Linked DNA regions of Lonchura striata. The protein of the gene in region 1 binds, or shares a complex with, the protein of each later gene. Links are inferred from orthologs where the notes say so. Each region holds a gene or a part of one and is shown on either strand. Other genes may lie near its edges.

Region 1 (14,997 bases):
GGGAAGAAAATCCACACATGGGCCATGAGCACCATGCTGGGGGGTGATGGAATAGATTTCCTAGCACTAGAGACACTCCTTTCTGGAGGACCAAGAGCATTGATAAGGATCTGACTTTTCCCTTGAGGACTATTAAAAAAAAAAGGTTAGTCAGGTGTCCCCAAGGCGTGATAAAGGTGTCTTACAAGAGATTTCAATATCTTATTTTGCCAGAAAAGAGGAACACAGCCTACTCCTGAAGGAATGAGATTATCACAAAGCACAAAAGCACACAGCAGTAACAGCAGTGAATACCACATACACGATTCATGAGCACCGCATCTCAAAAGTTTCTGATTCCACCTATATCTCCATGAGGATGCTCCTTATGAGCTGGCTGATCACTGGCACACAAACAAAGAAAGCCAGAACATTAACACATCATTCCTATTCTGCCCCTATTTATTGTCTCAAATAACACTGGAATGTGGTGACACACTGACACTCATGAGATAGGACTGATGCTCTTCAGTTAGAGCACCTGTACAGGCACAGCACCACAGCACCTACGAGCTGAGGGAGCATTAGCACACCCTGTGGCACACCACAACAGGAAGCTAAATTCCACTCATAAGAAGTCTCCAGGCTGAAAATTTTAGTTGTGACTCATTGAGAAGTTTATTGCTGAAAGGCAACATTTTCAGTGACATTACAAGAAATCCATGTGAAATGGTAGAATAATGAAACCTTTCTTTCTATCAATCAAACCACCTTGCAAACCTAAGAAAATTCAGGCCTGGTTTGAATTGCTTAGAAACATGATACCAAGAGGTATTGAAGTCCCCATCCCTCAAAACACACAGTGGGTCTTGAACTTGTCATGCAAGTAGCTGCCAGAGTGACAGTGTGACTTCAGTGCTTCGTGCAGCATTCTGGCTCCCTGTTAAATCCTAGATGCACGTCAAGGTCATGGTGTTCATCTCGAGAGTCCTCAGTGGGTCAGCCCCAGGTTACCGGATACCTCCTCTCCTGGAACGCAGGCAAAGCACGACTACGGACACATGCAGCAATGTCAGCTCGGGCGCCACCAGCAATACGGACACCACAGCAGGAGACTCTGAGCCCCAAAGCTTCAGGAGACACAGCACGCACACAGGAGCACCATTTCCACCCCGCCAAAAAGGAGAAAGTCTCAGCCTCCTGCCTGAAACCCGAACACCGCGGAGTTATCCCACCGTACCGCACAGAAGCGCTGCCTCCCCAGAGAGCCCCACGGGGCGGGCTGGCTTTCCCGTGCGGCCGGACGGCAGCCGGTGGCCCCGGGCAGGGTGCCGTGCCCAGCCCCGGGCGGCACATGTCCTGCTGAAGCGGCCGGCACCCGCCGTGGCTTCCCCTAGAGCCCGGCCCGGCACAAGGCCGTGGACGCCTTCGCACCTGGGCCCCCGCCCGACACCGGGACCGGCGGCGGCGTCCCCCGGTACCGCCCGGCGGGGCCGCTCCCTCCGGCGGAGCCTCTCAGGGCTTGGGGCGCCCCCGCCCCTGCCGTGCACAGCGCAGCAAGGCCACTGCCCGCCCCTCCCGCGGCGGCAGCCCCGGGCATCGCCGCGACCCCCGGGCCCGGCAGCAGCGGCGCCGAGGTGCGGCCCCGCCCGGCCCGGCCCGGCCCGGCCCTGCCCCGCCCTGCCCTCACCTCGGGCCGTCCCGCCTCCCCCCGCCGAGGAGGTGGCCGCGTCCGCCCCTGCACTGCAGCTGCCGGCACGCCGCCCCCCCACTCCTCACCGCCCCTCTCGGCAGTTGGTTCGCCTCACCCGGCCCACCTTCTCATTGGTGGCACCGGGCCGTCACTCCGCCGCTGGCCCGCCCACCCCCCATGGGCACGCTGGGAACCCGAGTCCCGCGCGCGGGACTCTCTCCCTTCGGCCGGAGGCACAGGGTGGGGCGGTAAACTACAGCTCCCGCAGTGCCCCGCGCGCAGCCCCGGCACGGCCCGGCCCGGTGCGGTCCCCGGTCCCGCATCTCGCGGGCCGCCAGCGGGACGGTCGCTCCGTCCCTCCCTTCCCCACCCGTGCCCGCCGCGGCGCGGCCCGGCCCGGCCCAGCTCACCTGGCCCCGCCGCCGCCGGCGCCTCCCGCTGCGGCCGGCGCAGGCAGCGCATGCCCCACGCCCTTCAGTGCGGCTCGTCGGGCGCGGTGCCGCCGGCCCGGCGCGCTGCGGCTGCGGCTGTGGGACGGGCCTGCCCCGAGCGCATCCTCCCTCTCGGAGCCGCGGCGGGCGGCGGGATTCGCCCACAATGCACCGCGCGCCGCACCGACAGCATCAGCCTGACATCACCCGCGGGCCGTCCCCGCCCCGCCGGGCCCGCCCCAGGCCCGCCTCCACCGTCAGCAGGCACCGGGCACCGAGTGGCGGCACATGCGGCTGGGCGCCGCAGCGCGCCGCCGCTCCGCGTGCTGGGAAGCGCACTGGCGTGGGACAGGGACCGGGACCGGGAACAGGAGCGGCACGGCGCTGCCCCGCCCCGGGACCGGGACCGGCATCGGCAGTGCCATCGCAATCGCGGGCCCTGCCAGGACGGGGACTGGTGCTCGTCTCCGCGCTGGTGGCATCAGCGCTGGCATCGCCAGCACGGCCCGGGGCACTGCACTGCCCTGGGACTGGGGCCAGCGCTGGCACAGTCTTCGCAGGGCCGGGTGACTGCACCGTTGGGACCAAGGCCAGAGCCAGCACATCTGCCTGAGGCTGGACTTTGCATTGCACACGGTCTGGCAGCGTCACCACTGTGAGCCCTTGCTGCCCTGTCCTGGCAGTGGAGTCAGCCCAGCAATGCTGACCTGCAGCTTTTTACTCCAGTCCTCTGGGGCCAGGGCCATCAAGGGACTGGTGCATTACACTGCACTGCAAGTGGCAGCATCACCAGTCTGGCCAGGACACTACACTGGGACCAGGACCAGCACCATCAACACTGGCTGGGACAATGCACCACTAGGATCAGAACCATCTCACATCCATTCAGAGCCAGGTCTTGCCCTGCCAGGGCTGGGAACAAAACCCAGCAGCTCACAGCTGGGTGCAGCACCCAAAAAAAGCATGCAGCCTGTCCCTGGGCACTTTCCCTGTTCTACATCTGAGGGGTACATCTGTGCCCCTGCTCCAGAGAGGTGCCTTTCTCCCTGCTCCAGCTCACTGCGAATCACATTGTACTTGAAGAACAGATAAGCACGTGGCTCCTACAGAGCTGTGCAATACTTATGGCTGTGCCTTCTTGTTCCCTTTTCACTGCAAATCATCCATATTCATGCCTCTGTCCCAAAGTGTGGATGAGCACTGTTCTGTGCCTTATACACCTTCACAAACCACACTGCAAGGGACACTGCTGCCAGGCCCTCCCTGCAACACACTGGTGCCTTCTTCCTGTCCCCATCAGAGTGTCCCTGTCAGATCCAACCTGGTATTGATCCATAGATGGAGGTTCTCATTTGTCTTGTGAGTGGGATGTCACACCAGCTTCCACAGGGCTGCTGTGCTCCCCCATCCCTTGTGGGACATACCTCCCTGCCAAGATTTTCCCCCCAACCAAAGCAGTCCCTTGGGGCCAGGGTGATAAAGAGGAGATTTGTTGTGACAAGACAGACATGCTTGTGCCAAGACAGACCCAGCACAACCCTGGCCACCCCCAGCCACTCAGTTCAGGGAGAAAAGGGCTACCAGGCCCCCACAATGTTCCTCCACTGGCTGGAGCCCCCTACATTGAGGACTTGCTCTGTGGAAACATTCCACAGAGACTCTAGGGAATCTCTAGCCCTGTAGGAGCTCATCCTGCAGTCCCAGGGGTTAAGACACCTGCAGGTGCACCTCATTCCAAGGTTCCTGTTACTTCAGGTATATGATTGAGAGATGATTGGCAGTTGCCATGTGGGCTCTCTGTGCTGCAGGTCAAGACTCCACCACTTGTATTCTCAAGCACTGGTTCACTGAGTTGGAGAGGCAAAAGAAGTGGGCAAACCAAAATTAGGTGAGGGAGATGGTTTTCCCCAGGAGATTGTCTTTACTTCTCAGTATCCTTCAGATCTCTCTTTCACAGTGCTGCTGGAGCACCAAGCACAGACCCAGCAGTAAATTGGATTGAGCAATGGTACAAACTGGAGGGAATGGAAGGATTAGATGCTGGAGCCTTGGTCCATCCTCAGGCTGGGCAACCCCAAGTGCTGCTTAAGGGGAGATGTGGAGATTCAGCAACAACTTTCTGGAACAAAGCACATAGCAAACCCAGTGTGGGCTGCTGATGCAGGAGAGGAGCCAAACTGGGGGGGAAGTTCTGTGTTGATGGATGGCAGCAGCAGCACTGAATCCCCTTGGTTTGAAATCCAGCCTTGAGCAGAAAACTCTTGAGAATGGGACAGCTGGTTGCCTCACCTGTACAAAAGCAGTCTAGTTATCTGGATATTATTAAGTATTGTTTTTCTCCCTTATCACTCATTGGGCATTTATTACACATTCATAAATGGAAGTGCAGCAGATCTACATTTTTCACACAGATTTGACCTTTGTTTCAGGTGCGACCACATGTGAGCATATCTGACAAAGTTTCACCTTCCAGATTAGCTCAGGTACTCAGCTCCTTAAAACCTGTTGCAGTTCCCATTGCTTTGGACACAAGGTCCATGTTCATCTGTTAAAGTGGCACCTGAGCAACTGCATTTTAGCTTTATTTCATCCTTGGTCTAAACCTCCCTCTAAGCCTGCTCTTCTGCAGATGGAGCTGAATGGGCTTAGAAACCTGCTGGAACAGCCACCTGGGAACATGTCCAATTTAATCTGCAGGCAGAAATGTAGCTGAAAATGATCAAAAGATTTTATTAAAATCTGGGTTAATTGTGACTTGGGAGAATTTCTAACACAGACCAGTGTGTACTTTTGCTCTGTGGTGGGGTTTTTGCCTGGCCCTGACTTTCTTTGTAGAGCCAGGTATCAACTGTGTTCACAGCATGTGAGAAGACCATTAGAAAGGACAGTTAGGAGCACATCAGTGATAACCAAGTGAAAGTTGTGGATTCCACAACTTTACTATTCCTCTTTTTAGGTCATTAAGGGGAAAACGGGGGAAGGTGTGGGGTGGGGGGAAGAGTGGTGGGGTGAGCAATTGAGGAACATAGACCTCATTGAGTAGGTCTTTGATATATTGACAGCAATCGAAGAGAAGGCAAGTAAGTGGAAAGATGTGGAAAGTTGGGGGGTTTGGGGTTTTGGTTTTTAAAGTTTTTTTGCTGTAGTTCTGTCAGCAGAAATCTCAGCCCCTACTCAACCCACTACTGGCATTGCTCATCAGTGCCTGCCATGACACCAGCACAGAAGACTCTCAATCCAGGCCAAGATCTGCAGCTATTCAGCAGCTGTGCCCATTACCTGCTAAAATCTCCTGCAGGGCAGTGAGATTGCCTGGCTGGTCTGGGAGACTGTGCCAGGAGGCTTGGCTGCATCAGGGAATTATTTCTTCTGCCCTGGCAACCACATGCCTTTGGAAGCTGCCACACAGAGGTGGTATTTCCAGATGACAGTCACCAGGCTTCTCCAGAGCTGGAAATGCCAGCATTCCTGTTGGGACTCCATAATGCCAGGGGGCCCTAAGAATGGAGAGAGACACAGTGAATGTGGGAAGCAATTCTGTGACCTTTTATCCATCACCAGCTTTTCCTGGCACACTTAAAATACTTAAAAATGAGAAATGCTGTAACACTCCTTGGTTCTCAAAAAGTCAATAGTCTAATGTGCCAGACTTCACTCTCTTGTTCAGGAAGTCATGGGTAGAACAAGTAGACATTGCAAAATCTCAGAGACACTTTTCCCCCTCTCGTTATCTATTTTTGAGGCAAGGAAGGAGATTTGGGCTTGTGCTTGGGTTCAGCAACCCATTTCAGTGGGGTGATCAGACTGGATTTGGGTTGTGTTACTGCTGGCTATGGTTTTCTCTGAGGAAAAAGGCAGACAAAATTTGAGAGCAGGGGACGTTTTGGTAAATCATGAGTAAAACAAAACCTGATGGTAGAAAAGGAGAATCAGCCTTGGTGGAAGAAAGCCCGAGAAGTGCTCCCATATTTCAAGGTGTGCAAACAAAGCAGGTAAGCTTTAATGCCAAATAATTTAAATTCATGCTTTCTTTTTTTGACAACTCAATTGTTTGTTCGTGAAAAGCATTCCTCTGAAATCCTGAAAGGGGTAGGACTTACACAGAAGTCATCTTTGTTATAAAACTTTTGAGCAATCCTTGGGCAAACCAAGTGAAAGCTGAAGTGCTCTCCGTGCCCCTGTCTGGCACCAGGTGGCACACGTGCTGCTGTTTGGAATTTAGAGCTAGGGCAAACCGAAAGTGACAGTCAAAACCCAAGGTAGTGATATCGAACTACAGCAGCCATGTACTAATGCCAGCTTTACAAGGAAATTAAAATTGTATTTATTCTTGCTTGTTACCTATAAAACACAGTGGAAGGATCAGTGGTGTCAGAAAATCTCACACAAAAATCACAAAAAAGCACCTGGTGATATATTTAGAACAGAAGACCAACGTTTGTTTCTACCACTGCCAGAAGAAGCTTCATAGCATTTAGAGTTATTTCAGGCTTTTAATCTTGAACACGAAATGTGCTTTGCCTACCCAAACCCTGGGGGTGAGTAGAGTTTGTGCTCTGTTAGTTTGGCACTTCTTAAGGATGCTCAGACCATGCCACTCTGAGCTTTTAGACTCCATGCTGGGAAGCTGGACCAAGGTGTCTAAAATAATTCATTTCTTTATGCCAGAAAAGGTCATGTCTCTGCTATAGACAAGGAATAAATTCTGTGCTACCTGCTGTAAAACCCTGCTACTCATTGTTGAGGGTTTGCATCATGAAGCCAGGGTGAAGTCTGGTCCGTAGATTAAAATGGAGGAAGAAGTGCTGTGATATCAAAGCCAGGAATTCCACATTATGATAATGATGGTGCTCACATGGCTGCCAAGATAGGATGTGTACCCCGCTTATAGACACCCCATTTTGAGCAGAGGGGGCAGGGTTATGACAGCTTTGTGGATAGTGGTGTACAAGGACACAATGTGTTTGCCACCTACCCACGAGCACAAGTACTGTCTGTGCATGAGGATCGTGCCACTGCGCTTGCTTTGTGCTGTGTCCGGGTGTGTGGTGCTGGGCACCGCCTGTAGATACGACAGCGTGTGTGTGTGCTGAGAGCTGCTTTTTATGTTAAAAGGCCTGGCTGTACCTGGGCACACCTGTTGTGGTGGTGAGGATGTGAACAGGGGTGCACCCCGGCCCGCACATCCGTGCAGGTGATAACCCCATAGGGGAAAGTGCTGGGTCTCTCTCTCCAGGTACAGGTGTATCTCTCGGGGTGCTCGCGGGGTGCGGGGTGTCCCTGGGGCCGGGGTGCTCCCAAAGGTGTGGGGTGTCCCCGGGCGCGGGGCGCTCCCGGGGTGCGGGGTGTCCCTGGGGCCGGGGTGCTCCCAAAGGTGTGGGGTGTCGCTGGGTGCGGGGTGTTCCCGGGGATGGGGGGTATGCGGGGTGCGGGTGTCCCTGGGTGCGGGGTGCTCCCGGGCTGCGCGGTACTCCCGGGGACGGGGTGTGTGCGGGCTGCGGTGCTCCCGGAGCCGCCCCGCCGGGGCAGCCCCTCCCCGCAGGCGGTCTTTATCTCTCGCTCGCCCGTTCGCTCCCTTTCGTTCTCCCGGTTCGGGCGGGCGCGGCGGGGACAGCGGCGCAGGGCTGTGTGCCCATGGCGCTGGCGGCCGCCCGAGCGCGGACTCTGCGCGCCCTCAGCCGCCCGCGCCCCCCGGGCCGGGTCCCGGCGGCGGCCCGGAGCTGCTGCAGCCCCGCGGGCGCCCCCGGGGCGCTGCCGCCCGGCGAGTACCGGGCCTGGCGGGAGCGGGCGGCCCGCGACCCCGCCGGGTTCTGGGCGGACGTGGCGCGGGGGTGGCTGCGCTGGGACAGTCCCTTCCACACGGCCTGCCAGCCCGAAGCGCCCGCTGGTTCCGCCCGCTGGTTCCTCGGCGGCCGCCTCAACGTCTCGGGTAAGGGGTCCCGGCCGCGCATCCCCCGCGCCCGGCGGGGCCGCCCGCGGCTGCCACCGGGCTGGGCGGGAGGCGACCCGCGGGGCGAAGTTTCTCCATCGCCCGTCTTTGGGGGTAAAACCGAGGATTTCGGTTGGGCGGCGCAGGGAGGAAGCAAGCCAGGAATTGCGAAATGCTGGAAACGGGGAGAAAATCCGAAGCTGGGATAACCCCGGCTAAGCCTTTTGCTCGGGCACTACCTCACGGGCGGCCGCCCTTCGACCTGCGGAGATGGGCCCCGGGATGGGATGCCAAATTTGGGCTCTGCCGGCTGCTGCCCGGCCCCGTGGTGGCTGAGGATGATCCACAGGTGGGGAACGGTCCCAGACTTTTATGGCAGGGATTTTTTTTTTTTTTTTTTTTCTTTTTAACGAGGATCTTGGTATTTTCCTCCAATTTCACCTCTCAACATGAAACGAGTGAATTTTGCCGTGGCTGCCCTGAGTGCATCTGAGTTTTGTCCATGCCGTGTCTGCCCTGAAGGCTCTTGTGTGCTGCGGCTGTGCTTTGTCCGGTGGGAGTGAGCCCCAGCCCCATCCAGGGTACCACTCAGTGGTGATGTCTTTTAACAGGGACGAACATTTCTGACCTTCATTTCCTGTTCCTCGGGGAGGACGCTGGTTCACTAGTGCAGTAACTGTAACATCTCTGGCCACTTTTTGTTTGACAGCCAAAAGAGGAAACCCTCCTCAGGTCTTCCAGAGAGCCTAAGAGAGTGTCTTCACCCTGGGGGTGGGTGATGCCCGGCAGTGGATCCCAAACTTATGGAGATATTTGTACAGCCCTGTGCCCAGCAATCAGCAATCAGAGGATTTTAGCCAGGATTTTGTTGTCATTAATTCCTGTTGAAAGGAAGATCTTGTCTGAGCACAGCCTATCAGGGATCTATTTCTTTCCTCTGTAGTGTGGGATCAACAGTTTCTTCTGGATCTCATGCCAGATCTTTGATATTCAGATATTGCTTGGCCTTGGGTCTGGTTCCTCAGCAGACAGAAAATGCCACTTAGCTTTTTTTTCATACATAAAAGGAAATCATAGACCTTTGAAACAGATGCACAGAATTAAACAGGTTTGCTGTTGCTGGTTTTCTTTTCAAGCGTGATTAAGGCAGTACTTTGCCACAGCCAAGTGGCTGTTTTTCTGTTAGGAGACTGTGATTTTGTCCTTTCACCTCTTGATTTGAACACAGTCTGTGTAGAAACATAGCAGCAGTTCAGGTCCCTTATCCAGAGCATCATGTGTGCATGTCTCCTAGCACAGCTGAACCGTGAGCAACTGAGTAATCTGATGTTCTTTGCTTGAGAGCCCTTGCAGTAGGATTTTGTGGACCTGTGAGCTTAAGGGCTTCTGGATTTCTTGCACTGTACTCCTGGTCAGGAGAATAACCTGGCAAACTGCATTTCCCATCAGGACACATTCTCAGGAACTTGTCTTACTGAGATTAATTGTTTCTGAGCAGTCAAGGAAGCAAGAAAATGTATTGAGAAGCCACTAGGGTGTAGTAGTAAGGGAAAGGTCACTAAATTCTATTTTGTAAAATGAGCAAAAGACTCATGTAAGCCTAAGATCAGGAAGGAAATAATAGCAGTTGGCTCTGGTTCACCTGCTGGTTCTTACAGAGCGCAGAGCTAAAGCTCCTACTTGGTTCAGCCAGGGCTTCCTGCAGCAGAAATTCCCTCTGAAGGCCAGTGTGGCTGCTCATGAGTAGGAAAAGTTGTTTGGGCAATGAATGCCATTTTGTGATTCACTGTAGCATGGCACAGTATGCGAGGGTGTAGCTGTGAGGAGCCTGGAGGTGGGAGTTGCTACTTGTTGTGAACCAAGCCACAGCAGTAAACACAGGTAGAAGAAATTAGTGTATAACTGCTTAAAAATTCCCCACTAGGATTTTTGTCCTCTTGTATCTTATTAGGATGGCTTAAGAAATGGCTTTGTCTTATTTTTATAGTACTGCTGCAGGGTTTTACATTAAAAATAAAAGACTGTAAACAGCTGGTGCTTTTTTGAATTTTTGAGATTAACATTTGGTCTTGCAATAAAATGTGTTAAACTCTGAGGAATTACTTCCTCTGTGCACCTTTAGGGGCTCATTCCCATCCCGTGTGATGGTGTGATCACAGAACAACCAAAGCTACTACAGCACACAGTTTTTTTAAATATATCTGGAAAAATGAAATCCTTTCCCATCAGTATTAATATTTCCAGGAAATATGATTTGAAATCCAGCATTTTTTAAAAAGGTTTTCTCTGAGTTATACAGCAGTGTCCCTGACTAGTTGCCTATTGAAATAAAGTAATTGCCTTTGCAAGATTACAATGCAATAAGTAAGTGTCATGTAGACTTGGAGTTAGTACTTAACAAGGATGTTCTCTGACTATCAGGCAAGTTGCTACTGGACATGCAGGCAAGTTTCTTTTGTGGATTCTATACATTTCTTCAGATTGGGTGCTCTCCCTACATCCTCCACTTCAAGATGCTGAGGGGGAGAAATGCACCTTTAAAAGGGAATTTTATGCCTTTAAATTTTAGGAGATGGAATACACAGCCTGAGACACATTAATCTTCCTATGTGTCTGATAACTTGTAGATGTCTGAACTTCTAGTTTACCATAGATCCTACAGTTTTAGACATTTTCAATTAGCTGAGATTCAGCTCTTTGTTATACCCTGGAACAAAATGTTTCACGTGAGCTTTAATTAGAAAATCCAAATGGTGCAGTGCTAAATATGCCAGCTGGGGAAGACTGTCCGAGTTCTGTAGTGAAATGCTGCTCTGGGGAGAAAAAACATCAAAAGGGTATCTTGCCTTTGTGCTGCTGGGAGCAAGGGAAAGATTTGGGCTGGCTTAAGTTTAGGCAGTGGAGCTAAATGGCTGAATTGAGCCATGAATTCAGCCCATACCTGAATTTGCCATGGCCTCTCATGGGTATCCATCTCTAAGGCCACTGTGCCAATTAAATGTAGAATTTGTTGTATAGCTTTACTGGAGCTGCAAATGCCTGTTCCTCTGTTATACATTAGTGTGTGTCAAGCAACCCAAAAACTGATGTTTCATCTTGCACTTGCTTGCTGTTGCACTTGATCAAGCTAGGTTTACAAAGCACCTTTCATATGTTCAGGCTTTGTTTAAACCTTTGGGTTTCTTTACAGTAAATTGCTTGGATCAGCACGTCGAAAAGTCTCCAAACAGAGTGGCTTTGATTTGGGAGAGAGATGAACCTGGCACTGCAGTGCATGTCACATACAGGTATGGCACCTTCTCACTATGCCTGGCAGTGTGGGGGACACAGGAAATGGGATTTTTCCACCTAGCAGTTTCCTTTTTGCTTGCTGGAGATACACATGGGAAAATTTCTGTGAGTAGCTTCTGGTTTCAGAAGAATAGCAAACATCTTGGTGCAAATGTCTTGTGTTGCTAGTAAACAGCTTGATACTGAGTCCTGGCTGGAGGGGATTTTAAGTTCTCCATGTTTCTCTTTCCCATCCTCACTGCAGTTCAGAGTAACTTTGAGACTGCTCTGATTGACACTGATATGTAATTGATGCTACAGATTGCACAGTTTGTTAGAGTAGGGCAGGTTTAAGCATATTTCTCTTCTCCTTGCTATATGCCCTCGTTTAGGAGACAGTCCTGCCTTTTACATCATCTCTGTCTCTAGTGAGATTTAAATGTTCCCAGACTTGTACATTCCTCAGTGCATGTTTTAGGGAGCCAGATCTTTGAGCTGCTGAATCTCAAGGAGCCAGATGTTTGTTCTGCTAGATCATAAAGCAGAGGAGATGAAGAATGTCCCTAGCATCAGACTTTTACAGAATGTTTTCTGCAACTTGTTGGGGTTCCTAGAGCTCCTTGGGTCTGAAAATGTTCTAGTGGTCTGAGTCATCTCCAAAATTTATGAAAGCTCCTGGTAGCATTATTCATTCAAGTGAGGAAAGTGGTCAGCAGGGAGGAGTGGGTGTAAAAATAACTCTGAGAGGTTAGTGCTCCATGCAACAGAAAGAAACGCTGTCTGATATAAATCTATGAAAGGAGTGCATTGTTTTTTATCTTGGTATTGTTATTTGGCAGGGTGCTTAGGCCTGTTATGATATAAATATGTTGTAATGATCTGGGTAGCTTGTCTAAGTGCTTTTGCATTTTGCCATTCTGGTGGTAAACATGGAGATGAAACCAAAGGTTTCTCCCCGAGTTTATGCATGGTATGTTTTTCTCCCAGGTTTGTGCACTTTTACCTCTCTCTTTATGCCTCAGGCATGAAAACAAGGGGTAAGAAAGAGGTGACAATTGTGCTCAGATCAACATGACAAGAGAAGCAACCCAACAGACAGCACTGCCTTATTCAAGGCAGCTCTAACCTCCCCCTTAGGCCGCTACTTGAAATGTACTGAGCTGCTGCAGACGCTCAAACATCTTATCTGCAATCTCTGGAGATAAGGGACGGCCTTTCTGAACAGCAACAGGACTGTTTTTTTTCCCTGGCCATGCCCAAGTGCGTTTGGAAGAAAGTATATTTTCAGCCTGTGGAATTGTGATTGCTGTGACATGAAAACAAGTAACCCATATCTGAAAACTGAACCCTTTTTTGTGCAGCCTTACAGAGATACAGTAACTGGTATCAGAAAGGAGAACATCCAAGTGAAAGACGTATGGCAATCTCTATTTTCAAGCTTCTGTCTGTATTTGAGAGCCATGTTTCTGTTTATGCCTGATACTGTGGGTCAGATGTGATTGCATTTGAGTTTCTCTAGAGACTTTGGTCCTACCACGTGGTAATACAGGTCACTTGGTTCTCTGCTTATCTCATTAAGGCAGGAATAGCTTTGTTGAAAGCAGCGGTACTCTCTGAGTATTTTGCCTTTTCTGTGGTCTTTGGGCTGCATTTTTACAGGTTTTATATGGGTCAGAAAGCTTTTCCTACAGTGTGTTAGCATTAGCTTCCCTTTGAGATAGAACTTAGTTGAAAACCTTTTTCAGTAGTGCCTTATTTGAGCTAGAAGTTTTGTGAGGGAAAGCAAATCAGAGAAGGAAGTGGCCCAGGAGCTGGGATGCTGGTGGTCCTTGGTGAGTCTTCTGTAGCACATACAGCCTCAGAGTAAAGGGGGAATCAGAGGGATGCTGGACATGTCTTGGCAGAACAGAGATGCCTCTTTCCTTAGGATCTGGATGCCCTGTTAATGGCACAGTGGCCTTAGAGTAAGGACTTAGCACTGTAGGAAAACAAAGACTTTAATTTGGGCTCTGTCTTATGGACCAGCTTCGAGTGAGGTCGTGGATACAGCTGGGAGAGAGCTGTCCAGGGCTTATGTGCAACATTGCTAGGCACCGTTCTGCATTATCTACTCTGCAAAGCTTGCTGCTGTGAGCTGCTTCTCCTCAAAGATAAACCCTGGGCAACACAAGGAAAGATGCAGCTGCTGGCCTGGTCCTCTGCCTTCTCCTCTGGGGAGTTGTCAGGGACAAGAAAACAGCTGAGTGCTGGCCTTGTTCCCATTGCAGCCTGCAAAGGAAGAAGGTGGATGTGCAGGAAGAGGGCTGGAACAGGAAAAAAAACCTTCATCGGTGGGATGTCCTCCATGCACTGGCAGGAAACACAGCTGCACTGGAAAGTGCTATCCCAGCTGGCTCATCCTTGGCAGAAATAAAAGCCTCAGTTTGCCTCTGCTGTGGGCAAAGAGCTGGTGGGCTGTGCCATCCAGTCAACCCACATCCCTGTGCACACTTGTCAGCAAGGTGGGTTGTAATTGTGCACCAGAGTTCAAGTGCTGTATGCTAGGGGAAGAATCCGAACATCTGCTGGTGGGCAAAGATACCCAAAGCCATAGGTGAAACACTTTATTTTTGCACCAGGAGATGATGTCTGCCCTTACAAGCTTGGTTGTGATGACTTTTTTCATTGCTGAGTTTTGTCCTATCTCTCTAGCTGATGCAATTCGGTCTTGCAGGAAAAAAAGTTCACTGGCCATTCTTGCTTCTTCTTCCCTGTGGGTAGAAATTTAGCTGAGTTTCAAATTATCTCTGGTTTTGAATGGGAAGGCAAGAGACTTGTTTTTTACTGCTTTGTAACAACAGGGGATACAACCCTCTTGGGCTTTGGTGGCTGCAGTCAGCAAAGTGGGGACAGGTCATGCAAATCAGTTATCAAGAGGCTCTCTGACTCTCCTGAGGCTAAGCCACCAAAAGCTCATTGGTAGGGCAGTGGCTTAGCAGCACTGTGGTGCTGTGAGCTGACAGCTGAATTAATTGTCAGAAGGGTCCAACCAGACCAGGAGTGTTTTGTCCTGCTTTGTGGATATTGTCAGGGCTCAGGGCCTTTGAAACCTTGCAGAGGAATTCCCCAATGCATTGTGAGCCTGGGTTTTTAAAGGTACTGTACCCTCTAAAAGCAGGTGGAGATAGTGGCCAGAGCTGTTGGGTTGCAGCCTCTCTAAGTTCAATGACAGGAGGTGTTGAAGACAGCAGCTAAAGTTATGCCAGCCCTCCTGCTCTCTGATGTGGAGTTATTTATTCTCTCTGGTGTTCCCTGGTTTACAGTTTATCCACCTGTGACCCAGTGGATCTGCAAAATCTCACGGCTGTTGTCAGTGGGAGCTATGGGAATTGGGCAGCAGAATGCTTTAGCTAACCTGTTTTTCAAAAGGGTTCCAGGTCTCAAAAGAAGGATCACTTTGGTGCAGAAAACATTGTTGCCAGAGGGAAAGCTCAAAATGCAAAAGACAAACTAGGGAGAGAGGAAAGCTAAAGGACCAGAAATCAGGGTCCTAGGTAGGTGGGAGAGAAGTGGTTGGACATCTTCATGAGCAACATGATAGCGATACCTTTAAAAAACCAATGGATTCCTCAGCCTGAGCTAAAATAGATGAAATTGTGTTAGAGATCACAGTGAAGAGTGTAGCTGGAAGCCATGATGATACTTACCATTGGCAG
Region 2 (14,319 bases), on another chromosome or scaffold:
AAGTGGATCTTGCCTTCTGTCCCGAGGCCGGGCTGAGCCTGAGCAGGCGGAGGGAGGCTGCTCCAGGGAAGGACGGAAGTTGCCCAACCGAGAAAGAAGGAAGGAAATCGCTTTTTTTCTTTCGTCTCCTTAAAAAGAAAAAGTTGGAAAAATGATCCTGGACACGCAGGTGTTTGCCCAGCTGAGCTGAGTGCCCGCGGCAGTCCCGGGGCTGCCCTGTGCCTGGGAAGGAGGAACTGAAAGAGGAAGACCAAGCTGGATGAGTTATATTCCCAAAGCCGCTGGCAGGGAGCCAGCGCACCCCACTGACCTCCCGTGGCCCCAGCCACGCTCTGACCCTTCCCCTCGCCTCTTTCCAGGGAGGACAAAAATTCCATCTGGACTTTGGCTCTGGCATGCCTTTCCAAGCCACTTCCAGCTGGTCCCATCCTGGTGGGTCAGGGAACCAGGGCTGGAGCTGCAGCCAGGTGCCACTGGGTGCTCCAAGCCACCGGCCCCGGTGTTCACCGGGATTATTTTATTGCCTGATCCAGCATTTAGAGGATTGGCATAACACATCTGTCCCGCACTGTAAATCCATGGAAAAGCCCCCATGGGTCAGTCCTGCAGCTGCCAATGCCCCAGGGACACCTTGGGGACACCCTGACAAAGGGCAGAGCTTAGCAGTAACACTCCCCCCTCTACTCCTTTGGTATTCCAGGGTCTAATCCCAGCTGGGCCCCAGCAGGATTCATTTCCCCTTTGGTTTGTTTCTCACAACCAGCTGCTGATTCCAGCACAGGCAGAGTCCATGACATGGGCAGGAATATCCATCCTCTGGAGAGCGGGTATCCATGGGGATTCTGGGGCATTGGAATCCCCTCCAGCAACCACCAGCACACCGGGACAAGCAGTTTCTTCCCCAGCTGATCCCAGTGGCAGGCATCCATCCCATTTCCTTCCCTTTATCAGAGGAATTTGGAAATAGCCTTTTCCAGAAAGTCCCTTCCCGCTGAATGGTGCTTTGAGTGTTAAAAAGTTTATAAAAGCCCACAGAAGAGGAGGTCCAAGGAGAGAGGAGCTCTGCTCCAAAGGAAAAGTTTTGCTCTAAGGGAAAAGGCCCCATCCAAGAGGAGGTCTCTGCTCTCCAGCAGAACATCTCAGTGCCCCCCTGCACTGGCTGGGGACAGTTTTTAGTCTCAGACCCCTGGGCAGTGCTGAGGGGGAAAAAAAAATCCCAAAACAATTAAGGGAAATAAAATTAAGCAGAGAGCAATTTGAGAAAACCTGTCAGGCTGTTCCTCCCTGTGCCTCTGGAGCTGTGCCAAGGAGTGGCAGGGGGTGGTGGCGGCAGTGACAGTGACAAGCTGGGCAGCTGCAGAGCGAGGAGCAGCGGGATCACCCTGAGAGCGCCATGAGGGGTTTCCAGAGGGGCTCCCAGCTCCTGGCAGCTGCACTCCGGATCAGCCGGGTCCCCCGGGCACAGCTCCGCTCCCACCCCCCCGAGAACATACTCTCCACTGGTGTGAGTATCCTGGGGGGCTGAAAACGTGGGAACAGCCCAGTTGGAGGGGCCCAAACATTCTGTGTGTCTGGGCCAAACTGTTTTGGAAGGGGGTGGAAGCAAAAGGGGAGGGGGAGGAAAAGAAGGAATGCACCCTCAGGTTCCAGCCCACACCCCCACGGTGTCCATGTCCTGCTCCCCCCCTTCACCGGCTCCTGCTTCCATTTGATTTTGTCCTTTCAGCCCTTTTTTAAACCTTTGAGGTCTGGGGGTCCCTGCAGCCCAGGGCAAGGGGCAGCAGTGACACTGGTGGTCCCTCAGGGCCACACCCAGACCTCGGCCCCTATTCTGGGACCATCACCCCAAAGGGGTGTCCCCACAGGCAAGGACAGGAGCTGCTGTCACTGCAGAGCCCAAGATCCCTCTGACATTCCCCCTGCGGGGACAGTCCCCCCCAAACCAGACCCTCCCAGGCTAGGTAAAACAAGCTGGGAAAAAGAAGTTTTCCCCCAAAATTATGCCTGATTCCCCCTCCACCCCTTAATTTGGGGTTTTCCCTCTGCTGCCTTTCCAAGGTCTTCAACAGAGGAGCTGCAGGAGCCTGGGAGAGGCTTTTTCCAGGCAAATAAATCAAAGGAAGGTGCCAGTGTGGGAGGTTAACGCTGTCCTGGTTGTACTGGGGAAATGAGGGGCTGCTGCTGGCTGCAATTCCCATCCCAAAGTCACCTGAAAGTCAGGAACACTGCAGGCCCCAGCCACAGCTTCAAGGTCAAACACTGCTCCAGTGTCCCGGAGGAGCAACAAACCTGGAGAGCACCAGCTCCATCCACTGCCAGTGGGAACAGCTCTGCTCCCCAAACCTCTCCCCACAGCCCCAGGGCAAGTGCCAAGGACTGGGAAGAGCACAGGGAAGTGAGCTGGGTGCCGGGTTGGACGGCAGCAGCGCAGCCATCCCGGGAGCCCTGTGAGCCATCCCACTGATTCCTGCTCCTTGTCCCCCTCAGGAACAAGCCATCGCCCTCACCCTGATGTTCACGTCCTTCCTGGTGCCCACAGCCTGGGTCCTGAGCAACATCTACAACTACAGGAGCAGGCCTGAGTGAGGAGTGGCAGGAGCAGCCTGCTCCCTGCTGAGAGCATCCCAAGGGCTCTTCCCTCGGGCAGAGCCTCACCATGGAACCCCCCGAGCCTGCTCATTAAAATCCATCTTTGCATTCAACAAGGCCTCACTGGGCTTGCTCCGTCCTGTAGGGAACGAACCGGACCTGTGCCTGCTGCCCTGATGGCAGCATTCCCTCAAGGGCTGCCAGCAGGTCCCAATGGGAAGGCACATTCCCTCTGGAGCCTCCACTAGCTGCAGCACTGCGTGCACCCAGGCACCTCTCCCAGCACAAGCAAGGAAGCCATTCCAAGGTAAATTCCCGGCAGGAAAACACCCAAAGGCTGGGAGTGACATTAAAAGGGTGCCACAGGCTGCGGGCTGCACGCCTGCCCACTCCCTGCCCTGTAGGAAGGGCCTCTCCAGCCACCACATCCCAAATGACCTGTGCCAGGGAAGCACCCAGCACGTGGAAGGTTTGGGTAGCGAGGGGTACTTCCAGGTGTCTTGGAAAAGCCTCTGGAGCTGTCACAGTTCTGCAGATCTGACCCTCATTCCCAGGAGCTGCTCAGAGCTTCACGGCCAGGGGAGTGCTCCCACAGCACGGGAGATGTGCTCCTGAGAGAAGCTGGTACTGCTTCCCACAGTGATATTCCAGATTTTGGATGCTGATCTCAAGCAGCAGCAGCCCCACAACTCAGTGACTCCAGTGGAGTTTCCTTTGTTTCCTAAGTGTAGTGACAGCCCTGGGAATGAGGATGAGATCTGACATGGCACTGGGAAGGAGACTCTGCTCCTTTAAAGCTTCTCCTGTCCTTACCTATGAAATAATGGGAATATTTTCCTGATTGGAACACCTACTTCTTCCATACGCTTTCCTGAAGTCACTAAAGTGGCACCAGGAGTAAGCCTTGGAAGACAGGATGCAGCAGGAATTGGTCAAGTCAAATCAAGTGGCTGGGCAAGGAAGAGGCAGGCACTGGGCACAGAACAACCCCTCCCCATCCAGGAGGGAATTTCAGCCAGAAGGGCCTGGAGAGCAGCAGGAGGAGGGTGAGCAGGTACAGACTCCAGCAATTCCATTTTGTCCTGTTTTTCAAAGTCTGTCTCCTTTGTGTGAGGCATCTCTGCACCAGTCTGGCATCAGCCACATGCTCCCTTCTTTTTCTTGCTGGATTAACACCCTCAGTCAAGGCAGGAAAAGCAGGAAAAGTACAAAAATTCCAGCAGTGACATTTGCTAATGACACCAGAGAACCAAACTGGTGAGGAAAGCTCCTGAATCCCAGGAGTGGCAAGGCCTGACCCTGGAAACACGTTTTTAAAGGAATTGTCATCAGCTCAGCTGCCAGGGACGGAGATGACACAGAATTCCCAAAAAGGGAAGGCAGAGACGTTTATTCCGGCAATGCCACTGCACCTCACTTGGGCACAAAGCGTTGGTGAAAGACACCCACCCCCTCAAGTGTATGGACACACCCACTAACCAGGAATCCCGGGAAAACCCTTGGATGGAGCAAACACTGCCTCTGCTGCAGATGAGGAGGGGCAGAGGGAAGCAGGGCTAGGGGAGGAAGAGGATTTGGGGAATGCTGCCTCAGGCTGCTGCAGGGGCAGGGGGAGAGGGCAGCAGGACAGGCTGTGTCCCCTAAGGCCAAGGCCCCTTGGATCCTGCACTAGGATCCCACCCTCCTACAGCAGCTGGAGGCAGGAGGGATCAGGAATGATCCATCCCCCCAGGACGCAGCTCTGGGATCAGGGATCAGAGTCACCCGTGCCAGCAGAGGGAAAGCTTGGCTCGAGCACCAAAGGGTCACACAGCGAAAGGCCACGTCCTCGTCCTCCTGCTCTGCCCACCCACCCCTCCATGGATTCAGTACAGTCAGTGCTCTGAGTGCTGCTGGCCTCAGGAGCAGCAGGAATCACTCTCTCCTCTATGTCAGGATGTCGTGGGCTTGGTGCTCCACCAGCATTTCCATGCTCCGCACGTCTGTGCACCAGAACTCCAGGCGATCCTTCATCCCTTTGATCTGCAAGGCAAGGCCACAGGGACAGAGTGCCTCAGTTCCTGGGAATGCCCACAGGCTCCTTCCCACACCTGAGAGCTCAAACCATCCCTCAGAGCCCCACACACTGAGACAGGGAGATGCCCCATCCCAGGAAGTGTTTCAGGCCGGGTTGGATGGGGCTTGAACAACTTGCTCTAGTGGAAGGTGTCCCTGCCCATGGATGGGCTTTAAGGTCCCTCCCAACCCAAACCATCCTGGGATTCTGGGATTAACAGCTTCTACCAGCTGGCCTAAACTGAAATGCACCAAAGGAATTGTCTGCAGCTGGAATTCCAGACACTGATTTTTGGGTTTGAAGGTAAAGACACCCTGCACAGTCTCCTTAAGTGTTACAAGGATGAACTTGAGAAACTCAACAGCTCCATTATACCTTGGCCTTCTCTCTTCCCAAGAGGACTGTGCCTCCCACACCCCTGAAACTCCCAGAGGTTGTTTCATGCATTTGGGAATGAGGCCTGGATCCTTCTAGAAAACACAACCATGGCTTCTGTGTTCCATGGTGTTTGTGTGGCTTTCACAAGGGACTGATGTGCCAGCCCTGTCCTGTCCCACCTCCTGGAAGGTTTCTGGGTGAAACATCGGGGGCAAAGCCAAGCCCCCAGGGAGGCTCATTCCCAAGCCATGACTCATCCTGGCTCTGGTGTCACTCCCAGGTCACCTCTCCCTGACCCAGCTGGATCTGGTGGCCATTACCTGCTGCAGGTCCAGCACCCGTGGCTGCACCCACGTCATGTGCACCCTCTTGTCCACCTCGTCGATGCTGCCCTTCACCAGCCCCACCGAGAGCGCCTTCATCACCAGCAGCTCCACCTGGGGACACAGATAATCCTGGGAAATGACCCAGACCACCCCATTTTCCCTGAGATTAATAAAACTTGGCATCTTCACATGAGATCCCCTCAGAATCCAGGGCAGCAGCTCTCCCAGCTGTCCCCTTTCAGGTGACAGATCTGCCTTGGGACTCAGCACCTTGGCAAAGAGGAGTTCTTCTCCCTAAAACTGGATTTTAGGGTTTTTTTAGTTCTTTTTCCCCTAAAAAAACCTAGAGTTATTTTCTTTTCTCTGAAATCTAAGGAAGAACAAGGCAATTGGAAAAAGCCAGAAGAGCCCAACTGTCCCCAGGCAGCAGGTGGGAGCTGGTCTCTTCTCCCAGGGACCAAGTGACAGGACAAGAGGAAACAGCCTCAAGCTGCACCAGGGGAGGTTCAGGTTGAAAATCAGGAATAATTTTTTAATGGGAAGGGCTGTCAGGCACTGGAAGGGGCTGCCCAGGGAGGTGTTGAAGTCCCCATCCCTAGAGGTGCCCAAGGAATGACTGGATGTGGCATTCAGTGCTCTGGGCACAGGCTGGACTAGATTATATCAGAGCTTTTTTTCAGCCTAAATGATTCTGGGATTCTGTGTGGTTCAGGTCTACCCAGGCACTCTCAGAGCTCCAGAATCTGGACATTACCAAGGGTGCCTAACCCCAAACTCACCTCGTTGACGGTGACTTTGGCACTCTTGGCAATCTCCTCAAAGGTGAGCTGGCGGTGGTTGGCTGGACGGGTGAAAGTCATCTGGATCCAGGGAACAAACCAAAAAAAAAACAACCCCCACAGGGTTTTAGGGATTCCCACAGCTCACAGAGCCTCCCCCAAGCTGCCCTGCCCAGTCTCACTCTGCACTGGAAACTGCATTTCTCATGTTTATCAAAGTAATTCAAACAAGAATGTTTTACACTAGTATGGTGACAGCAGAGCCTTCCAGTGACAGGAAGGGACTGTTTCAGATTATCCATCAGGGAAAGGACCCTCAGTCCCTCAGGGAAACAAAGGTGTTGAACTCTGTTCTAAAAGTCTTTTCTCATCCTGGAACATACTGCAGACACCATCCCTGAAGGATTGCTCTTCCCCTCCTCCACATCACAGAATTAACATCTTCCACTATCTCAGGTTGCTCCAAGCTCTGTCCAACCTGGCCTTGGACACTTCCAGGGATGGGGCAGCCACAGCTTCTCTGGGCAACCTGTGCCAAGGCCTGACCACCCCCACAGGGAAGATATTCTTCCTAATATCCCACCTAACTTTCTGTTAGAGAAGCCATTCCCCCTTGTCCTGGCACTCCATGCAAGAGCCCTCCCAAACCTAGGGACAAGCAGCCCAGCATGAGGTGTTTTCCCTCATGGCACCTGCCTGTGCCTCCATCACCAGCTCAAATCCACACTGAAATTCCTGTATCCAGGAGTTCCTGCAGGTGAGTGACCAGACACACTGAGCACATCCCAACTCACCTCCATGAGACACAATAGCTGGATCTTCTGCAGCAGGAGTGCTTCGTTTGCAGCCAGGTCAGGCTGTGAGGAGAGAAAAGGCACCAAATCAGGTCAAGATTACATTTTTCTCCCCATCCTGGGGCAGAACAGCTTTACATAGAGGAATAAATCCCTGGGAGAGTTTATTTAAGAGGAAGAAGGCTACCACAGCCCACCCACCAGCCAAGAATGGTCCCAGAAAACAATCCAAGTGCCAGTGAACTCACAAATCCATTGCTATGCCAGTGATTCCTGGTGTTGCCAGCGCAGGTAACATCCAACATCACTGTTTCCCCCCACACTTCCCAGAACAGGAAGGAAAACCACTGTTTTCCACTGGAAGCACTCCAAAGAGAAGTCAAAAGAAAACTAATTATGTGTATCAAGATGGAATAACCACTCCTAGGCTCCGAACAGAATTGTACCAGTGCTCCAGAGCCAGGAATGAGGCAGAGGTGATTAAGAAAAAGTCCACAGACTCCAAGTGTCAGGTGGAAATCCCAAGCCTGAGCCTTTAGCAGTCCCAGAGCCCTCACCTGCTGCCCCCAGGCTGACTTGAGGGCCTGAAAGGTCTCCACATTGCCGCTGTTGAAGGCGAAGAGGGTGTCAATGAGCCACTGCCGGTCCGTGCTGCGCAGGGACTCCAGCACTGGGTGCATCAGCTGCAGGGGACAGGCAGGAGGGTGTCAGCAGGGGAAAAAAACCAGCTCCTGGGGCTCCAGGGATGAAGGGATGTGGCAGCACTCACCAGCTCCCCAAAGTTGTAGACGCCTTCTCCCAGCAGCCCGGCCAGCCCCAGGGTGAAGGCTCTCTCCTGCTGCTCTGATACTGGAAGAAAAAAAAAAACAAAACCAAAAATAATTTGGATGAAAAAATACCCAAACCAAACCCACTACGGATAAAAAATAAAACCAAAAGTAATTGGGATGACAACAAAACTCAAACCAAAAATAATTTGGATAAAGCACCACTTCAAGCTCTATCAAGCCATCCCTCACCTACATTAAACTATTCCCAGCTCTCATCTTCCCCCACGGCGCCTGAAATTCAGGAGCCTGCAGTAACCACAGCACAAAAGGGCTGCTTTTTTAATCCAGAGTGAAGATTTTTGGGAATTGGAACAAAATTGTACTTCTGGCAGGGGCATTCCCCCTCTTCCTCCCAGTACAACTCAGGAGCAGGTCCTTGGAGGTCACTCCTCAGTCCAGCCAGACCTCAGATCCACCACAGCACAGCCAAAACGACACAGAGGGAAAACCTCAGCCAGGGCATTTATTTGGGTTGGGGAATGCAGCGGAGTGTGGAAGGTGGGATTAGCCCTGGAGAGGAGTTACCTGGCAGGTCCTTGACCTCGATGCAGCCCAGGAAGCGCAGCGCATCCTTGTAGTAGGCGGCGTGGTTCCCCACGGTCTGGTAGTACTTGCTGGAGAGGTCGTAGAAGCGGCTGTGCACTGATGTCACCCCGGGCAGGGTGTTCAGCATCTCCTCCACCTCCTCGATGGTCTCCTGGGAAGGACAAGACCTGGCTCTTACAGTTCCCAGCTCTAAGGATGGCAACCTCCCCAAGGGATCCCTGGTGACATCCCAGGCAAGGCCACCATCGCTCCCACACCCTTCCCTGTGAGGAGGGTGCTGAGGCCCTGGCACAGGTTTCCCAGAGAAGCTGTGGCTGCCCCATCCCTGGAAGTGTCCAAGGCCAGGGCGGAGCAACCTGGGCTAGTGGAAGGTGTCCCTGCCCATGACTGGGTGATCTTCAAGATCCCTTCCAACCCAAACCATTCCAGGATTCCATCACCCAAACCCATCCCTCTGCATTTGCTCTAGGAGACTCAAAGCTGCCCTACCTGAAAAACATAATTTTGGGGTTTAATAGATGGTTTTAAAACCAGCCTAGGATGACAAACCCCATGTGCTTGGGGCTCAGGCAACAACACCACCACAGGTCCTGGCGAGCTCAAAAGTCCCTCAGGACCAGGAGCTGGGATAACCAAGAAATGCCACAGCACCCCAAAACTCCCCATCCCAGGCCACCGCTCACCTTGGTGACCTGCAGGTCCCCGATGTTGAGCTTGAGGGCCCCGATGGCTGTTTTGCACAGGATCACAGCCTCGTCACTGCTCTTCACCTGCAGGGACACAGGGACCTGTTCAGAGCGTCACCTGCAGCCAGGTGTGCTCCAGGGGCTGGACAAATGCCCCTTGTGACCATATTCCTGCATTCAGATTCCTGTGGAAAGGTGTTGCTCTCCAGCACAGGTGATACACGTACCAGTGACTCTTGGCTTGCTCAGAGGCAAAACTCACCAAGAGCAACTTCCAACATACCTTTTCCCGGGTCTTCTCCAGAAAAGTCAGGGCCACATTGGGATCTGGAGTAGAGGGAAAAACAGATTTAAATGAGCAGCTCTCATGGAGCTAAACCTCGCTTACCAAGCCACCTTTGACAGGATTCCTGATGACTGGAATATGGGTTTTCCATGGTGTACCCTCAGCCTGCAGCAGCTGCTGCCAGGTAAGCTGGCCTTTTCCCCACCAACCACCTCTCCAGAGAAGCTGTGGACTTCCTACTCCAGGAATCATCAATAACCTATGCTTTCTAAGCCAGCACTTTCCCTTCCCGACATAGCAGAAGCACAACACCTCCCCATCCAAGACTGGCCCATCCCTGGCCACATTCCAGAGGTCACAACAGGACAGGGAAGAGGGGAGGACACGCACCTGTCATCTGCCGCACCACGTGCAGGATAATCTCCACCAGGGACAGGGGGTTCACCCTGCAGAGAGCAGCTCAGAGTCAGCACAGGTCCCTCATACCCCTCAGGTGACCCCAAGCCCCTCCAAGTGACCCTCAAGCCCCCCCAGTAACTCACCTGTGCTCAAACTCGCTGATGAAGTTCTCGTAGAGCTGCAGGGACAAGGACAGGGACACTCATGGCAAAGGGCACCCGGGTTCAGAGCTCCTCACCATGTTTCCTCTCTATTCCAGCTCATTTGAACATCCCTGGAAGTGCTGGGCAGGGCTGTGAGCCAACTGGGCTAGTGGAAGGTGTCCCTTCCAGGGAGGGTGGAACATGATGGTCCTTGAGGTCTCTTCTAACCCACACCATTCAAATACCTCAATCCTATGATTATTCCAGAAAATCGGGCATCCCATAAAGAAAGTCCAGCACTGTTCAGAACCCGGAACTGCTAATTTTATCTAATTCTATCCCCATAAGCTTCTTGCAATGAACACCCATCCTGCACTTACTAAAATATGGAATGAAAAAAAAATCTCCTTGCAACTCCTAAAGATAATAAATTTAGGTAAGTGAAGTAAAGAATCACTGTGAAGCTTCTGAACCCAAGACATTTAACTTTAGCAGAATTTCCACAAAGCAGCCAGTGCAAACACCCCCGAAGCTGAACCCACAAAGGTCAGTAATCCTCCAAGAGAATTAAGAAAGAGAGAAGCCGCAGGCTGAGTTTTCCCTGGTACAAAACACCAGGAAAGCTGGGAAGAGTCGGCTCACCTTGATGAGCCCATCTCCCTGGGCGAAGCAGGGGTCCTGCACGAAGTCCAGCACCTGCAGAGTGAGCTGGTGCCACAGCCTGGGGACACAGAACAGCCCCGTGAGCCGCCGTGCCACGGCCCGGGACGCGCCCGGCAGCGGCTGACGGGGGCTCGGATCGGGGGCGAGCCGGGGCTGGAACCCCTGACAGGGCAAACACCGCCGGGTCACCTCCCGGGCGGCTACCGAGGCGGCTCAAGGGACGCGGGCCCGGGCGGGCCCGGCCGCGCGGGGCTCCGGGGCCCGGGACGGGCGGTCCCCCCGCACCCCGTCCCCGCTCACTTCTTGTTGTAGAGCTCCTCGAGGCGGTGCCACACGGCGGCCTGGCCCGGCCCCGCGCTCTGGCTCTGCTGCAGGAAGCCCGGCACGTCCTTCATGGCGGCGGCGGGGCCCGGACGGGGCCGGGGCCGGGACCGGGACGGGGCCGGGACCGGGGCGAGCAGGCCGCGCCGTGCCCGCTGTGCGCACTCACTTCCGGCCGCGCAGGGCGCGCCGGGTACCGTAACGCCCCGAGCCCGCCGCCGCCGCGCACTCGCTTGGCGCCGGTCCCGCCGCGCCCCGCGGTCGCCACGGCAACGCCGCCGCGCCGCCGACCGCCGGGCCTTCCCCCGCCGCCGCTCCCCGCGCCCGCACGGCCGGACCGAGCCCGGGCGGGGTGAGCGGCGGCGGGGCGGCGGGGGCGCGGCGCGCGCGCTCGCGGCAGTGCGGTAGCGGCCATGGAGCGCGGGGCGCGGGCGCTGCTGGCGGCCGGTGAGCGCCGGGCGCGGGGGGAGCCCCGGCACGGCCGGGCCGCCCCCAGCACCGCTCTGCTCTCTTGCAGCCCGGAGGAGCCTGTGGCAGCGCGGGCCCCGCCGCGGCGGCAGCGCGGCACGGGGCGGCGGGCACGGGAAGGGGCCGGCCGGCGGCGGAGCCGGGAGGTAGGTGGGGAATGCCCGGCTGGCGGCTGGAGCATCCCTGCGGGACGGGAGCGTGGGGATCGGGGCTGGGATGGGATGTGCTCCCGTGATGGAGGATGGCCCGTCCCCGTCTAAGCAGGGACAGCGCGCTGGGAGCCAGGGCTGGCCTGAGAGCCCGGAGAGCAGGGATCTGCCAGGGAAAGCTCAGTATTTTTCCAAGACTGTGAGTTCAGCTCCCCGGGAACCTGGTCTGGCAGGGCAGAGCCGTATCCTTGTGACAGCAGCTAAAGGCAGTGCAGGGACACCTCCCTAGGCAGTCAGTGTCACACATCCCAGGGAAGCCAGTGTTACATCCCTTGGAAGGCAGAGCCACATCCCTGTGACAGCAGGCTAAGGCAGTGTCACACCCCTGGGAAAGCAATGTCATGTCCCTGCAAAGGGACAGTCACATCCCAAGGAAGGCAGAGCTGACCTCTGAGGCCTGGAAACACTTCCAGCTCTGTCCTTGTTCCTCGGGCTTGCCAAACTCTCCTGGCTCTCCCCATGCCTGGTCTGGACTGTGCACAATGCCATGCTCCAGCAGCACTAATTTTCTGGGAGAAGCTGTTCCCTGCTGATAATGACTGTTCGGGAACTGCTAATGACTGTTCCCATATGACAATGGCTGTTCCCAGCCCAGCTGGGCACAGGGCTGTGATTCCTTTGGACAAGGACACACGGAGCCCAAGGGGGGAACAGGGACATGATAGTGTCTGTCACCTTGCTCACCTGGACAGGGTGACACATCACCCTGAGAGAAACTTGTTGAACTCAGGATACAGGAGGGTCTCCTGGATCCCAGGGGAGTGTAAATCAACACTGGGACTGGGGATTCCCAGTGTGTGGATCCAACCTTGTGTCCATCCCTGTCCAAAAATACCCCCTCACAGGAGGGCTGGTGACTTGGTATTTTAGATCCACATAAGGAATTGCTGAGGGACACGTCTGCTCCAGGGTTTAGGTTGGACTAACAGCCAAGCTTTCTCCCAGTGAAGCCCGAGCGCAATCCTGCCCAGAGAAGAGCTTTCTGTGGAATTTTTGGGTGATTCTTCCCCCCTGAACCAAAGTCACTGTCAGTTCTCTCAGTGCTGTGCTTCCTCCTGTGCCGAGCAGGACCCAAGGCTCCAGGCCCTTCTGTCTGAGCACAGCTGCCAGAGCCATTTTGGGCTGGTGGGGAGGTGATGAGGGGAAGCAGAAGCTCACCTTGAAGGATGTGGCCGAGCTGCTCCGGAAGAAGGAATGTCGGCGTGTGGTGGTGATGGCCGGCGCCGGGATCAGCACGCCCAGTGGCATCCCGGACTTCAGGTGATGCCTCCATCCTGTGTGTCCTTGGAGGGCTGAGGTTTTGTCCATGGAAAGGGTGATTAAACATTGGATGGGGCTGCCCAGGGAGGTGCTGGAGTCACCATCCCTGGAGGTGTCCTAGGAATAACCTTGTTGACAAGGTGATGATGCATCACAGGCTGGACCCGTTGATGGTCTTGGAGGTCTCTTCCAACCTCATTGATCCTGGGATTCTGTCTCCAGCCCAGATCCCACTGCAGCCCCTCTCAGCTGCCCCCTGTCCCCGCAGGTCCCCCGGGAGCGGCCTGTACAGCAACCTGGAGCAGTATGACATCCCCTACCCCGAGGCCATCTTTGAGCTCGGGTATTTCTTCGTCAACCCCAAGCCCTTCTTCATGCTGGCCAAGGAGCTCTATCCCGGCAACTACCGCCCCAATTCCGCCCACTATTTCCTCCGGCTGCTGCACGACAAGGGGCTGCTCCTGCGCCTCTACACCCAGAACATCGACGGGCTGGAGAGAGGTGAGCTCCCTCTTCCCATCTCCAGCAGCAGCAGCAGGAGTTGAGGGGAGAAGCAGGACTGGGGACATGCACACAGGGAGGCATTGGCTCAGTCCTTTCCCACACATTGTATTCCAGTGGCTGGGATCCCTCCTGACAGGCTGGTGGAAGCCCATGGCACCTTTGCCACTGCCACCTGTACGGTGTGTCAGAGGAACTTCCCCGGAGAGGACTTCAGGGTGAGTGGGCCCAGACGGGCACCAACACAATTAACACAAGGAGGCATTAATTATTACAGCAATGACAGGTCTAAACCTGCTCTTTTGCCCTTGGGGACAAGAGGTTTATGGAGGGGACCAGTTTGGGGCTGGGCATTGCTCTGAAGACATGTGGTGATTCTTAACCCCTGTGACAGGCAGGTTTGGGGCCTCTCTTTCAGGGGGACAGGGTCCCTTTGACAGGCAGTTTTGGGGTCTCTCCCTTCAGGGAGATGTCATGGGGGACAGGATCCCTCGTTGCCCTGTCTGCACCGGAGTTGTCAAGCCTGACATCGTGTTCTTCGGCGAGCAGCTCCCGCAGCGCTTCCTCCTGCACCTCACAGATTTCCCCATGGCAGACCTGCTCTTCGTCATCGGGACATCCCTGGAGGTCTGGGAATAAGGGAAAAACTCACATGGAAAACAGGGCCTGAAGGGACTCCAGAGGGGAGAGAGGGCTTAGAGAAGGCAAGAAAATGGGTTAGGGAGGTGAAATTTGAGGTGGAGGGTAAGAAATAGGGTGGAGGTGCTCTGAGAGACCCTCTGGAAGCCAGGTGGGCACCTGGAGAGCTGAGGAAAGGCCACCGGGTGACTGGTGGCACTGTGACCAGTTCAGAGCAGGGGGGGCTGAGCGGTTCCAAGCCGAGAGTGCTGGGCACTGGTGCCCCTGGCAGGGTGACTGTCCCCGTGCCCCCCGGGTTCCCTCCGCAGGTGGAGCCCTTTGCCAGCCTGGCCGGAGCCGTGCGCAGCTCCGTGCCCCGGGTGCTCATCAACCGGGAGCTCGTGGGCCCCTTCGCGTGGCAGCAGCGCCACAACGACGTGGCCCAGCTCGGGGACGTGGTCGGCGGC

The links.
Region 2: the proteins of ACSS1 (region 1) and SIRT3 are in contact, whole or in part, in a crystal structure (PDB 3GLT), measured with the Homo sapiens proteins. The link is inferred for Lonchura striata from reciprocal best matches to the Homo sapiens genes ACSS1 and SIRT3. Residues at the interface, in NP_115890.2 of Homo sapiens: Ser640, Gly641, Lys642, Val643, Met644, Arg645; in NP_036371.1 of Homo sapiens: Gly145, Ala146, Gly147, Thr150, Pro151, Asp156, Phe157, Arg158, Ser159, Glu177, Phe180, Gln228, Asn229, Ile230, His248, Ile291, Val292, Phe293, Phe294, Gly295, Glu296, Pro297, Leu298, Gly319, Thr320, Ser321, Leu322, Glu323, Val324, Glu325.

What each region holds. Positions count from the first base shown.
Region 1 is NC_134605.1:19,102,519-19,117,515, forward strand, and holds the start of ACSS1 (acetyl-coenzyme A synthetase 2-like, mitochondrial), read left to right. Parts: upstream 1-7,737; coding exon 7,738-8,032; intron 8,033-11,222; coding exon 11,223-11,319; intron 11,320-14,997. UniProt on the Homo sapiens protein: Catalyzes the synthesis of acetyl-CoA from short-chain fatty acids. Acetate is the preferred substrate. Can also utilize propionate with a much lower affinity. Provides acetyl-CoA that is utilized mainly for oxidation under ketogenic conditions.
Region 2 is NC_134608.1:53,251,190-53,265,508, reverse strand, and holds the start of SIRT3 (NAD-dependent protein deacetylase sirtuin-3, mitochondrial), read left to right. Parts: upstream 1-11,319; 5' UTR 11,320-11,410; intron 11,411-12,541; 5' UTR 12,542-12,686; coding exon 12,687-12,733; intron 12,734-13,001; coding exon 13,002-13,234; intron 13,235-13,351; coding exon 13,352-13,452; intron 13,453-13,699; coding exon 13,700-13,861; intron 13,862-14,181; coding exon 14,182-14,319. Other genes in the region: PSMD13 (26S proteasome non-ATPase regulatory subunit 13), read right to left, coding at 4,516-4,611, 5,344-5,460, 6,129-6,209, 6,923-6,985, 7,480-7,605, 7,692-7,771, 8,278-8,449, 8,982-9,068 and 5 more.